2 linked regions of the Macaca mulatta genome follow. The protein of the gene in region 1 interacts with the protein of each later gene in a biochemical or structural test. Links are inferred from orthologs where the notes say so. Each region holds a gene or a part of one and is shown on either strand. Other genes may lie near its edges.

Region 1 (6,151 bases):
TACTTAGTTTCTAGAGTAAACTAAGTGAATAATTAGGCCACTTGTTAGAGTCTTACTTACTCTTGTTTTTTCTGTCTCTGACAGAACAGTGTTTGAAATATTATAAAACGTAACCTAATCCAGAAGGGATTTCCCCAGAAGAAATCCATGGATTTAAAAGAACCCATTACTATTTTCAAAAGCTTTTTCTTTTATTTAGTTAACCTAGGAAATTTGATGACTTTTGAAGATGTAACTCTATGCTTACTGTTTATTAATCACATACTGATTAGATGACAATAATTTTACAGTTTATTTTATAGTTTTTCTTATAAAAATAGGAAAAACACTATCTTAGAAACTTCACTAAAATTTGTCATAGAAATGTTGAGAAACCCATTGAACTAAGACCAATAAAAACAATGATATAAAGCCATGTCATAATGTAAATAGTTTTTAAAAAAGAAAAGTTATATTCATTACAGGTTTTGTCTTCCCAAACTAACTCACATATGCATATTACCAGCCCCCTACAAGTCAAGCTAAAGTGCTTACCAAAAATCCTGAATTGGGGGTTCTCATAATTTAAAGCTATTATTTTAAGCAACAATTTGATAGCCCAGGTTGTATGGTGACATGATGTAATCCAAATTTAAAATACCATCACCACCACCAAATAAAACTCCAGGAAATATATATTTATAATCTGTAATAATTCCCTTCATTTAGTTTTGAAACAATAGCCTAGTTCTGTTTCCACTGTCAACAGGAGGCACTAAACAACTTCTGAACAAGAATTACAAAAATATAAAACACAACATGATAAAGCAAAAAAAAAAAAAAAAAAAAAAAAAAAAAAAAAAAAAAAAAGCTATAAAGCCCAGAGGTGTAAGCCTGCATCTTTTGAAAGATTCACAGGGAACTCCTTGGAAAGCCCCCAAATGCAGTCCCTTGTGAAATGTGAGAGACACCAAGAAAACCAGAGGAATCTGAAACTGCAGTCATAGATTCAAGTCGAATTAACTTTTCAGGTTTGGCTGGATCTAGAGGTCACATTTTCAGAACTGAGGACATTTTTCAGAGCAGTCATTGAGCACCTCTCTCTCTCGGCAGCAGTTTTAACAACCCAGGAACAAGCAACCTATTCAGCCGCCCGCAGGGGGCAGCCAACGTCAGGTGAGAGCACGGGAATCAACAGGACTAGGGTTCTGGAGGCAAAGGTTCTAGTCTAGCCTCCACCTTGCTGTATGACTTGGACAAATCACTTCCTCTCTCTCAAGACTTCAGTTCCCCGCCTTTACATAAGGGCTTGCTTGGATCCTATTTCTAAGGTACTTTCCAGCGCTAATACATGACCCCCCCATGTCTTTCCGTGCCTCTTAAAAGCTAAGCACAGGAGCAAAGATGTGCAAAACCAAGGTCTTGGGGGCAAGGTGGAGAATGACTTCTGCGGGACCTGAAGGGGCCAGGACGCAGCAGGGCGAGTCCGGGGCTGCTCACGCGCCCAGTTCCTGAGTCTCCCTGCCAGGCTGGGCACCCAGGCTCGCCTTTGAACTTTGCATGCGATTTGCTTGCTCTAAGTCGTCCTAGTAGCATGATTAATTTCTTCTAAGGAACCTGAAATAACTTTTGCTTTATCTGCTCTGACGAGATCTCAGACCCAACAGTCAGAGGACTTTCAAAGGCTGATTTCAGGGTTGATGCACTCTACTCCCCACCTGCTAGACCCGGTGTGGTTACAAGAGTACAACTATGAATATTACATTCTGTCAAGGAAACAAACCGTGCAAAGAAACGAAAAAGAAAAGAGGTGCTGGGGGTTGGGAAGAGGGAGGGGAGCGGGAGGAAGTGCCTTGTGGCCGCTACTGTGATTCGGAGGGGTTCAAACTCATTTCGCTGACCTGGTTAATATAATCCCTGCCGAGTTGACGCTCGCCCTTGCAAGAAACGGCTCCGAGCCCGCAGTCGGGTTTCTCTTCCCCCTGAGGCAGGTTCAAGGCTCCCGCCCCTCCCGGCCGCCTCCCCTCTGGGCTACCTGGAGCCTCAGGGAACCTGCGCGGCCCCGCCCCGCGGGGGCGGCCGAGACCTCGGGGCGCGGAGCCTCTGCCGCGCCTCCTCCCAGCACCTCTGCCCGACTCACTCCTCCCGCTGCCAGTTTCAGGTCTCGGAAAAAAAAAAAAAAAATACAGACGACCCCAGTAGCTGTACTGTTAAGTCCTAAAGGCGAAAAGTGGAGCCCTCGAGGGCAGCACCTGCCCCGCGCCACCAGGCGCCGGGGGAGGCATAGGGAGCCCGGGGCTCCCCCAAGTCGCCCTCTAGTCCTCAGAGCCCAGTCAAGCCCCAGCGCTGCTCCCCGCCTGCTGCTGCAGGGTCTCCACCCACGCTCTTTGCAACTTCTCAGCGCCGCGCGGGGACCAGCGCCCGCAGGCTCAACAACAAACCAGTAGGAGAAAATAAAATAACCTAAGGAAAGGCGAAAGGATTTGCTTTGCCTCCACGGACTTCTCCCTAGAACTCCTTCGCGAGGGTCCGTCCGGTCACCGCGCCTCGGCCGGGGCGACCTAAGGCGGCTGAAGGAGGGCGCGAGGAGGCGCGGCGACCTCAGTCGCACCCACGTGTGCGCGCCGCGCAGGGACCTCTCGACTGGGGGCAGAGCTCGCGGGGATCGCGTCCCGGTTGCGCGGCAGCGTCCTTAGGTGCTGCCGGCCTCGGTCCCCTTGAGCCGAGTGGCGACTGCAACAGCCGCCGAGCTAGCCCCAGCACCCGCCGCTGGCAGGGAGCCCCCAGCGTGTGCTGCTGGGGAAGTCCAGAGGCCGGTGGAGGCTGGGGAGCCAGCAACTGACAGTTCGGACGAGGATTTCCCTCCTCCTCCTCCTCTCCCTCTTCCCATCTGTCCGGCCAAAAATGTGAGGGGATTGCATCCATGTTCCCAGCGAGCCTGCCTAAGTGCAGTGACATGTGCGACGCCGGCATGTGTAGGTGCGCATGCAATGTTTGCAGTGGAAATAAAAGCCTTTCACAGAATAATGGTTCGAACCTCCAAAACCAGGTCTCAAGACAATTTGCAAAAGTAGAGACCCCTTTATCCCCCTAAAATCTGCTTTTCAGCCGCCTGTCAGCTGACACTGGTCCTCGCCTCCATAAAGAATGAATGAAATTTAAATGAACTACCTGCAGCTACTAAACAATCCAGCATTTTCCCTGTATCTGCCATATGCTCTGCACTTCCAAGTCCAAACATATCTCAATGCATCCAGCAATTACGCTGCGGATCCGTCGCCGACACCCGTGGCATCAAGCCAGGCACCTGGTAGGGTCCCCGGGGCTGGAGGGCACCGCTCTGTCCCTGGCTGGAACGTGCTGCTTTCTTTTTCCCCCTAAATAAAAATGTATCCCCATGCAACTTGCAAAATGAGCCGCAGGGCGTGCTTCCCAACCTCCGGATACATTTCCCGCAAAGACTCTTCCATTCATCAGTCTCTGGAGCTGCTTCTGCTGCCGAGACAGGGGCTCCAGGTCCTCGCAGGGTCTGACAGCCCCTCAGACGATCCCGGAACGAATTCCCACCTGTTCCCAGTAGCCTGGCGCCCCGCGCGCCCCCGCGTGCCCCCGCCCTCGACCGCCCGCCGGGCTCCCCGTTACCTGTGCCGGGGTCTTCGGGCCATGGCGCGGCGGGCGCGGGGCTCCGCCAAGAGCCGCGGGGACCGCACCGGGCTGCCGCCTCCCGCTGCCCGCCGCCTGCCTGCGTCCCTCCCCGGCTGCGCAGCGGCGCTCCGCACCGCCGGGGCGAAGTTTCTCAGGAGAAAGAGGAGGAGGAGGTCACGGAGGAGGAGGAGAAGGAGGAGGAGGAAACAGGTTGATATTAAAGTGTAAACTCTGTAAACAGAGATGCCATCAAACAAAGAGCTTTGGACACTCCCCCTCCCGCCAAATCTGGCGCCCCTGCAGTGCGCACGCGCCCTGCCCGCCGCCTCCGCGGTCGCCCTGGCTGCCGCCCGCTGGGCTGCCGGGCCGGCAGGGCGGCAGCTCCCATTCGGCGCTCGCGCCGCCGGGGTGCGCCTAGCGCGCCGCGAGGCCCGGGAGGCGCGCGGGCGGGGAGCCCGGGGCCGGGGAGGGGCGGCCGGGGGCCGCGGCGGCGCCTTTTCCTGCGCAAACCCCGCTCCCGGCCGCGGCGGGGCCGACCCGCGCCAAGTCCCGCCGCCTCCCCTCCTCCCCGGCCGCCGCACCGCGGTCGCCCGGCTGCGCGTGCTCCAGGGCAGCGGGACCCGAGCTCCTCCAGCTCCCACTCACGGTCGCGGGGGCGGCAAGCGGTGGGGGGAAATTCCTGCACAGAAGATTGGATTTTCGTCAAGGTTTACAACTGTGCCCTCTGGAGACGGGGAAATTAGGAGTTGGAGGAGTAGGGGATGGGAGCATGTGTGTTCGTAGGATGTTTGGCTAGAGTTTTTTTTCCTTCTTAAATAAATAACATCTATAATTTAACTTGTTAGTGACAAAGAACGCTTCAATACAAGTGGGCGGCAGCTATCACCGCTCTCTAATGGAGCGCCCCGGCGGAGCTTTCACTCCCCTCCCGGATCCTACAGCCGCCACCGTCGTATTGTCACATGTCCTTCACTCTCTCCCCAGCCCACACCCGGGCCCCACCCACCCCGCCCCGCCCGGCCCAGGCGATGCCCACAGCACACCTCAGCTCCCCTCCCTGCACAGCGCACACGCCCTGGATTGCACACCTGCAAAAAAAAAAAAAAAAAAAAAAAAAAACTCGGGGGTCCAGAGAGCCCGCCCCTAGCAGAACTCAGGAAACCCTACGTTTGCATGCGTGGTTTTAGAAGTAAAACAGTTTGTGATTTTGGGGGTCGGTATCCCTGCTTAGTGTCATTTGAGCGCTCTATTTTACGAGATAAAATCAGCAAAGGCTTTCGTGTTGTTTAATGAGGGTCTCCAGAAGTAAAGGAAGAAGATAAGTGCTGAATTTATAAGGATTGATGATTGGGGGGATTTTAGGGGAGTTTTAGTTTTACTTCCGTTTATAGATTAGAACCATTGGGGATTTTTTTTTTTTCATTCTCTGTACACACTAATGTATTTTTCCTTTAATCTTTTAGGAGTTTGAGACTTCTGCTGACTGGGTTTGTGGGTGTCCCATGTGCCCCAGCAGTTCAAACTTAGCTCAGAAAGCATTTTTTCTTACTAAAAAAGCATGTTCTTACTAAAATGAGTCATGATTTTATTAAACGGTGAAGCATGCGAGGTTTCAAGACTATCTGGTGTTTTAGACTTTCTTTAAAATTATTATATAGTTTAAATCTTTATCAAGTGTTAGTTGCTAGTAAGGGTTTTAACATTCCTTTCCTCCTGAGAAGAAAATAACACTGAAACAAAATTACTGTGAGGTATTTCGGATCACAATTACAAAGGACAAGTCAAATTAATACTTTTAAAGCCAATATTTATTTCTAGATTCTATAATAATTTTCTTTCTTCGCATCAAAAATAAACAAAATCTTTTAAAAATATCTAGAGTAAACATCTAGAAACCACCCCTAAAGGAATGCATTCTGGCTTTGGGATTGCTTTATGAATCTAACCGGCAAGGTTCCCAATTGCTGAGTCTCTTGGACACAATGTGAGTATCTGAACCCTTTGCGAAGTGAGTTCATAGCCTCTTTTCCAAGATTTTAGGAGGTGGAACTACTCCTAAATTCTTGAACCCCTTTAAAGTAGAAAGATACTAAGTTCAGTTTTCCTTTTTTTTCTTTGTAAATCATTTTCCTGTGTATCGTTTTGAGAATTTATAATTTTTCATTTCCCAGATATTTTGGGATATAGTTTTACATTTTTCCCTCAGTTGTATGACAATAATATGTTTGGGAATATGCATAGTCCAATAAAGAATACATATGCAGTAATTTTATTAGGCTAATGTTGGATATATTGCTATCTGATAAGCTTATGGAAAAACAGAATCAAATGGAGTTATCAAAATTCTTGTATGGATGAAACTACATTTTTAAACTCATTACAGAATGTTTGTATTTATACATTTTCTCTCTCCACTTATAATTATTACAAAAGTATTTTTAGATGACAACTTTACACATTTCCTAACTTTTTTTTTTTTTTAAGATCTGCTAACTACATCAGTTATTTTAGCTGTGGCAGGGCTGCA
Region 2 (5,914 bases), on another chromosome or scaffold:
TTAACCAAGCAGCAAAGATGCCAAAGCACTGTGCTAGGCGCTGAGGAGAAAAGGATTACTACAGTAGACAATCCTTACCCTCAAGGAGCTTACAAGGTTTGTCTTGTAGTCAGTGACACAAGACAAACCTGAAATAAGATGGTGCACAGAGGTGTACTTTAAGTACATGAGACAAACTCCATAGGTGGTAGAGCAGTCAATCAAATAACTCTAGAATGGATTCAAATCAAATATATTTGGGCTTTCATATATCAGAGATTCAGAGTACCCACTAGCAGAACGTTTGCTGTGTGAGATGTTTCAGCACTCCAGTTCTTTATTGCCCCCTTCCTTAAAAAAATAAATAAAATTTAAAAATCTTCCCTTGCCACCTAAGTTAAAACTGCTACAAGTCACATCACTTTTTGATAGAAATGTAAGTGAAAAATGCCTTTTGAATATATTCAAGAATGCTGCAACCCATTTCCCTTTCAGTATCCCTAGTTTTTAGCATTGTATGTAAGGCACTAAAAAAGCCAGCAAGCATCCACATCTAACAGGCTCCAAACAAGTGCTAAAAGTTATTAGTAAATCAATGACAAAATTTAAACCAAGGAACAACCATTTTCCTGTCTGCTCCATCCCCCAACCAAAGCTTGGAAATCCTCAAGAGTTAGGCAAGAATAGGAAGTTCACAGTTAAACCTCTTAGATACTCTGTGGAAGGGACAGAGGAAGGCAGGAACAGGCGGGTCCCTGAGCAGAATGACCGAGGCACCATTACCAGCTATACTCTTTCCCACCTTGAATCCCACACACTTTGGAGAAAGGGCTGCGCTGCAGCAGAAACTTCCTTGGGGATTAGCTGAGAAAATACTGGACTCTACTAGCTTTTTTAAAAAATGGATGAGATCACTTAGTAGCCTAGATTGTCAAATCTGAAATATAAATAAGATGGCCAGTTAAAATGCATAAACGATGCGCCCATCAATTTTAGCCTCAAAAACAATAACGAAAGGAGATATTTACCGGGCCAGTTCCAAAGAGTTCATTTTCCTATGGTAATGGGGGCTTTTCTAGACAGTAACAAGAATCAGTTTTTGAATGCACTGAAAATATCAATTCATCTATCCAAAGTGTAATCATTAGTCCTTGGGAGAAAACCCAGTTCATTCTAGTTTTGACAGGAATAAACATATTTTATTATAAACTACTAATCTTTTTAAGGTTAGACCAAATAGACCAAAATGTTATATTTAAGAAGCCCTTAGGCTTTTACAAATGTCCTAGCACTAGCAAAAGTAGTGTCATTTGTTTAAAAAGTATTATTTCCTACTACAGCAACTGACCAACAGATAATAGGAACTTAAGAGGCACTAAATGACACTAAAACATTACACTGAATGTGGGCCACTGCATAGCTAGTCTACTAACCTCATTTGTGGTACTCATGTGTGATGCTATATTTAATGCATTCTTATCAAAAGGCTACAGCTACATACTTCCCAACTGTAGCTCCATGGTTTAAAATAAACCACTCAAGCAATGATCTTAACTGGTTCAACTATGAATCCTATCTTTCTTCTCGAGATCAAGATCACAAAATAAGGAGTGAAAAGACAGAAGGATAGGAAAGTAGTTATGCAAAGTATATCGTAATGACAAGAGTATTATAAAGGAATTCAGTTTGGATCAGTTGCTAACACTTAATGCCACTGGGCAACCGATCCAAACTAAATCAAACACACGAAATGACCAAGGTCTTTGTAGGAGTTAGTATTCCATACATTCATCTACTGATGCTGTGTTCAGTGGCTTGCTTAGGTTCTAACAGAAAAGTTTGGTAGACAGCAAACTTATGTGTGTTGCTCATGAGAAGGTGCTCCACCAAAACTTGCCATGAGCCTAGACAGCCAATGCATTAGGCCTAGACAGCCAATGCATTACCACTTTAGTGAAGGTGGCTTCCTACAGTTGGGTTGAGAAGCTTGCTCCACCTTGGTCAGCATGGAGAAAACCACGAGGGATGCACTCACCCAATCACAACCATCAGAAGAAACCATGAGAGGTTGTGTTTTTCTTTGGATACTCACCAGACAACACCAAAGGCTCCATATCCAATAGGTCTATCCGGCTCAATATCCAGCTGCTGTTGTGGATGATGCGAGTGCTGATGATGGTGCGCCTTAACTGTAGCAGCTGCGGCAGCCTGTACCTGAGCTGGGGCTGCTGCAGCTGGTCCAGGAGCCTGCCCCGGTGCCGGTGATGGGAAATATGGCTGTTGTTGCCCAGGGTTTAACATGGCTGCAGCTGCAGCCGCTGCTGCGGCTGCCGCAGCTGCCGAAGAGGTGTGCTGCTGTACAGGGTGTACAGCGGCAGCCGACCCCGGATGAAGATGGTGTTGAGGGTGGTGGTGGTGGTGCAGGTGAGGAGGAGGGAGGTGTGGAAGGTGGTGGTGATGGTGGTGGTGGTGACCTGCTGCTGCTGCAGATGTACCGCCATTGTAAGCCGCCATCATTTTTGCGTTGGCTCTTGCGCCACAAAGAGACATTCAAAATAAATGCCCTTTGATTGGAAAGCAAACTGGGTCAAGCTGTCATTTGGCCATTTAAAAATGAAGAAAAACCACTCACTCCACCTCAAAAAACATAGAGCGTAACTGGCTTTATGTCTTCATCAGTCAATCCAAACAAGTTAGAGGATCTTGGTGTTTAATTTTGGGGTGAGCGTGTGTGGAAGGGTGTGGGTTGCCAAAAGGAAAAAAAAAAGGAAAAAAGAAAAGAAAAAGGAAAAAAGGACCCCTTCCCCCCAGGATTCCTGCCACAAGTGGGTACTAAAACTCCATTCTTAATTTGGGGGAGGTTCCAACTTTGAATGTGGGAATAAAGGCCAAACCTCCCGACCCCCTGAACTCCACACACGAAAAGGATCAGGTAACACACCACCCTTGGAATCTTGAAAGAGGGTTGAATCATCTACCCCTTCCATTCCCACATCCTTTTCTAAACACCTACCACCTCCTCAAAAACAGGATTAAAAAAAATTCCCACTACCCTAAATGGAGAAGATGGGGGGAAATTTTCTGGGAAACCAGCTTCCAGCGTCCCCCCCCCCTCGAACTCTCAGGCCTTCCTACATCTCCCCCTACTCCTAGTCAGGTTGACCTGATTGGGGAGGGGGGGGCGGGGGTTCTAAACTTTCCTGGGCAGAATGAGCCAGGGAAGGAGGCTGGAGTGAGGAGAGGAGGCGACAGCAGGACAGAGAGGAGAAAGAGAGGTAGGGCAAAAGTGAAGGGAAGGAGGTGCAAGGAAGAATGAAAGATGTGGGCAGCGCTCGGACGCCTAGACAGCGGGAACCGCCCCGGGAGAAGGTTAGGGTCCCGGGGCCAAAGAATAGGAGCCCCGGGAGGCGGGCGGAGTACGGTCGGAAGCGGGCTGACTCCTGCCCCCGCCGCCGGCTGCTTCTGCTGAGGAGGGTTGGGGGGGAGAGCGGGTGGGTCCCCCGCGCGACGGCCCCTCAGGGCTCAAGGCTGCTCCGTCTCCCCCCCTCCCCCCCACCCGGCTTCCGTCCCCGCGGCCGCTTTCTCCTCAGCCGCCGCGGCCGCTTTCTCCTCAGCCGCCGCCTCCTCAGCCGCCGGTGCCGCCGCGGCCGGACTCACCTCCCCTAGCAAAGCCGGATAGACCGGAGCCAGCGGCGGACACGCGCAACCAGCCGCCGAGGCCCCGCCCCCGCCTTGCACTGACCGGCTGCCCTAGCCAATCCACGCCCACCTGTCCGCTACCGCCTCCAATCCTGGGCCAGGAGCTTCAGACAGGCGCACTGTTCGGCCAGTGGCAACAAGGTGTGGGTCTTCTGGGGAAATCCCGCCCCCGATCCGGGATGGGCAGATAGAAAGACCAATCAAAGGCAGAGTTTGGCTTGACCGACACGGCTTAAAGCCAATGAAAAAGCAAAGATCTTTGTGACATTTTTCTTTCGCCTCTCTCCTCTTTTTTCTTCTTTTATTATTTATTTATTTTTTGGCAGGAGCAGGAAGCTGCGTGCTAATCCCGCCTGCAAAAGCTGGAAGAGAGGGGCGGAATGAAAGAACCAATCATGAGCCAGAGGCAAAGAACAGAGTAACCAATCCTTGGGTTGAAAATGAAGTATGCGGGCACCTGGGCCAGATAGACACTTGACCTGACAAATGGAAAAAAAGATTGATGTAAGTCCCACCCTTTATAGCTCCTCTAGGACAGGATTGTGGAGAATTTGCTGTCATATCGAGACAACCTCTTCCAGGGGCGGGGCTTAGGAAAGGGGTGGGGTCTCAAAGTGGGCGGGACCTAGACGAAGAAGGCGGACCCCAAATCACCACTGGTCCACCGATCCCCGAGCCGTCTAATATACCACTTAAGATGTAAAGTGTGGGGCAAAAATAGGGGAAGAAAAAGGGAATGCTGAGCTTCAGAAAGTCAAGGTCCAAGGTCACTCAACAAGAAGACAGTCACAAAAGAAATTCAGTAGACTGACAGTTCATAGTCTACGGCCGGTCCTCTCCATGGTTAATCCTGATCTTGGCAAAAAGAGGAGGAATCTCCAGCATTCAGAACTCCACTGTCAACAGATGATAAAGTTGTTGGTGCAAATTAAAACAAAAAAGTAAACTTGGCCACAAAAATAATACTTTTCTTCCATCTTTCTTTCTTAACAGGGTTACGTTCTGTCACCCAGGCTAGACTGCAGTGGCACAGTCCTAGCTCGTTGCAGCCTCCAACTCCTGGCTCAAGCAATCTTCCCGCCTCAGCTTCCCAAGTAGCTGGGATTACAGATGTGCACCACCATGCCCGGCTGATTCTTTAATTTTTTAGAAACAGAGTCTCAATATGTTGCCCAGGTTGGTCTCAAATTCCTAGGCTCAAGAGATCCTCCCACCTCCCACCTTGGCCTCCCAAAGTGCTAGGATTACAGGCGTGAGTCACCGCCTCCAGCCTCTCCCATATTTTCTATCAAGTAAGTTTCTGTCATTGAAATCTTACTAAAATAGCATCTTTCCTTTACATCACTTGATTTATCTGAATTTACCCTTCTTTTAAAATGTGAAATAATAAGCTTACAGAACCTTATCCCTACCGAAACTGCATAGTTTACTCAGAAACTTGGAGGTCATCTTCAATTCCTCCTTTGCCTGTCCACGTTGTCCCTTCCAATCAATCAATCATCAAGTCTTTTTTTTTTCTTTCTTTTTTTTTTTTTTTGGTGAAGGGACATGGTCTCTGTTGCCCAGGCTGGAGTGCAGTGGCGTGATCACAGCCCACTGCAGCCTCTACCTGTTGGGCTCAGGTGATCCTCCCACCTCAGCCTCCCAAGTAGCTGCAGGCACACACCACCACACCTGGCTAATTTTTGTATTTTTTTGTAGAGATGGGGTTTTGCCATGTTGCCCAAGCTGAATCATCAAGTCTTAAACAATTTTAAATCCCTCTCACTTCTGCTTCTTCCCAGTCACACAGCATTTACCCAAATTTACACCACTAACATCTTTAACCATTTCCCTGCCTACAAGCTAGCTCTCCTTTGATCCATCCCCCTCTGGGGGCATAGTAAATTTTAAAAAATACAAATCTGAGACCAGGGGCAGTGGCTCACAACTGTAATACCAGCACTTTGTGAGGCCAAGGTAGGTGGATCCCTTGAGCTCAGGAGTTCAAGATCAGTCTGGGCAATGTGGCAAAACCCTGTGTCTACAAAAAATACAAAAATTAGTGGTACACATGTCTCTAGTCCCAGCTACTGAAGAGGCTGAAGTGGGAGGATAGCTTGAGCCAGGGAGGTAGAGGCCGCAGTGAGCTGAGATCCCACCAGTGCACTCCAGCCTGGGTGACAGTGAGATCCTGTCAAAAAAAAAAAGGCTGGCTGTACCCTAAATAGCCTGGCATGATCTGGTTTCCGCCTAC

What was found.
Region 2: of the proteins of MYB (region 1) and NLK, one has a biochemical effect on the other in vitro, tested with the Homo sapiens proteins (2 studies listed by BioGRID, with this or other methods). The link is inferred for Macaca mulatta from reciprocal best matches to the Homo sapiens genes MYB and NLK.

Annotation. Positions count from the first base shown.
Region 1 is NC_133409.1:40,273,443-40,279,593, reverse strand, and holds the start of MYB (transcriptional activator Myb), read right to left. Parts: upstream 3,852-6,151; 5' UTR 3,645-3,851; coding exon 3,622-3,644; intron 2,017-3,621; exon of another isoform or gene 1,881-2,016; intron 1-1,880. UniProt on the Homo sapiens protein: Transcriptional activator; DNA-binding protein that specifically recognize the sequence 5'-YAAC[GT]G-3'. Plays an important role in the control of proliferation and differentiation of hematopoietic progenitor cells.
Region 2 is NC_133421.1:36,729,144-36,735,057, reverse strand, and holds the start of NLK (serine/threonine-protein kinase NLK), read right to left. Parts: upstream 3,659-5,914; 5' UTR 3,628-3,658; exon of another isoform or gene 3,436-3,627; 5' UTR 2,530-3,435; coding exon 2,072-2,529; intron 1-2,071. UniProt on the Homo sapiens protein: Serine/threonine-protein kinase that regulates a number of transcription factors with key roles in cell fate determination. Positive effector of the non-canonical Wnt signaling pathway, acting downstream of WNT5A, MAP3K7/TAK1 and HIPK2.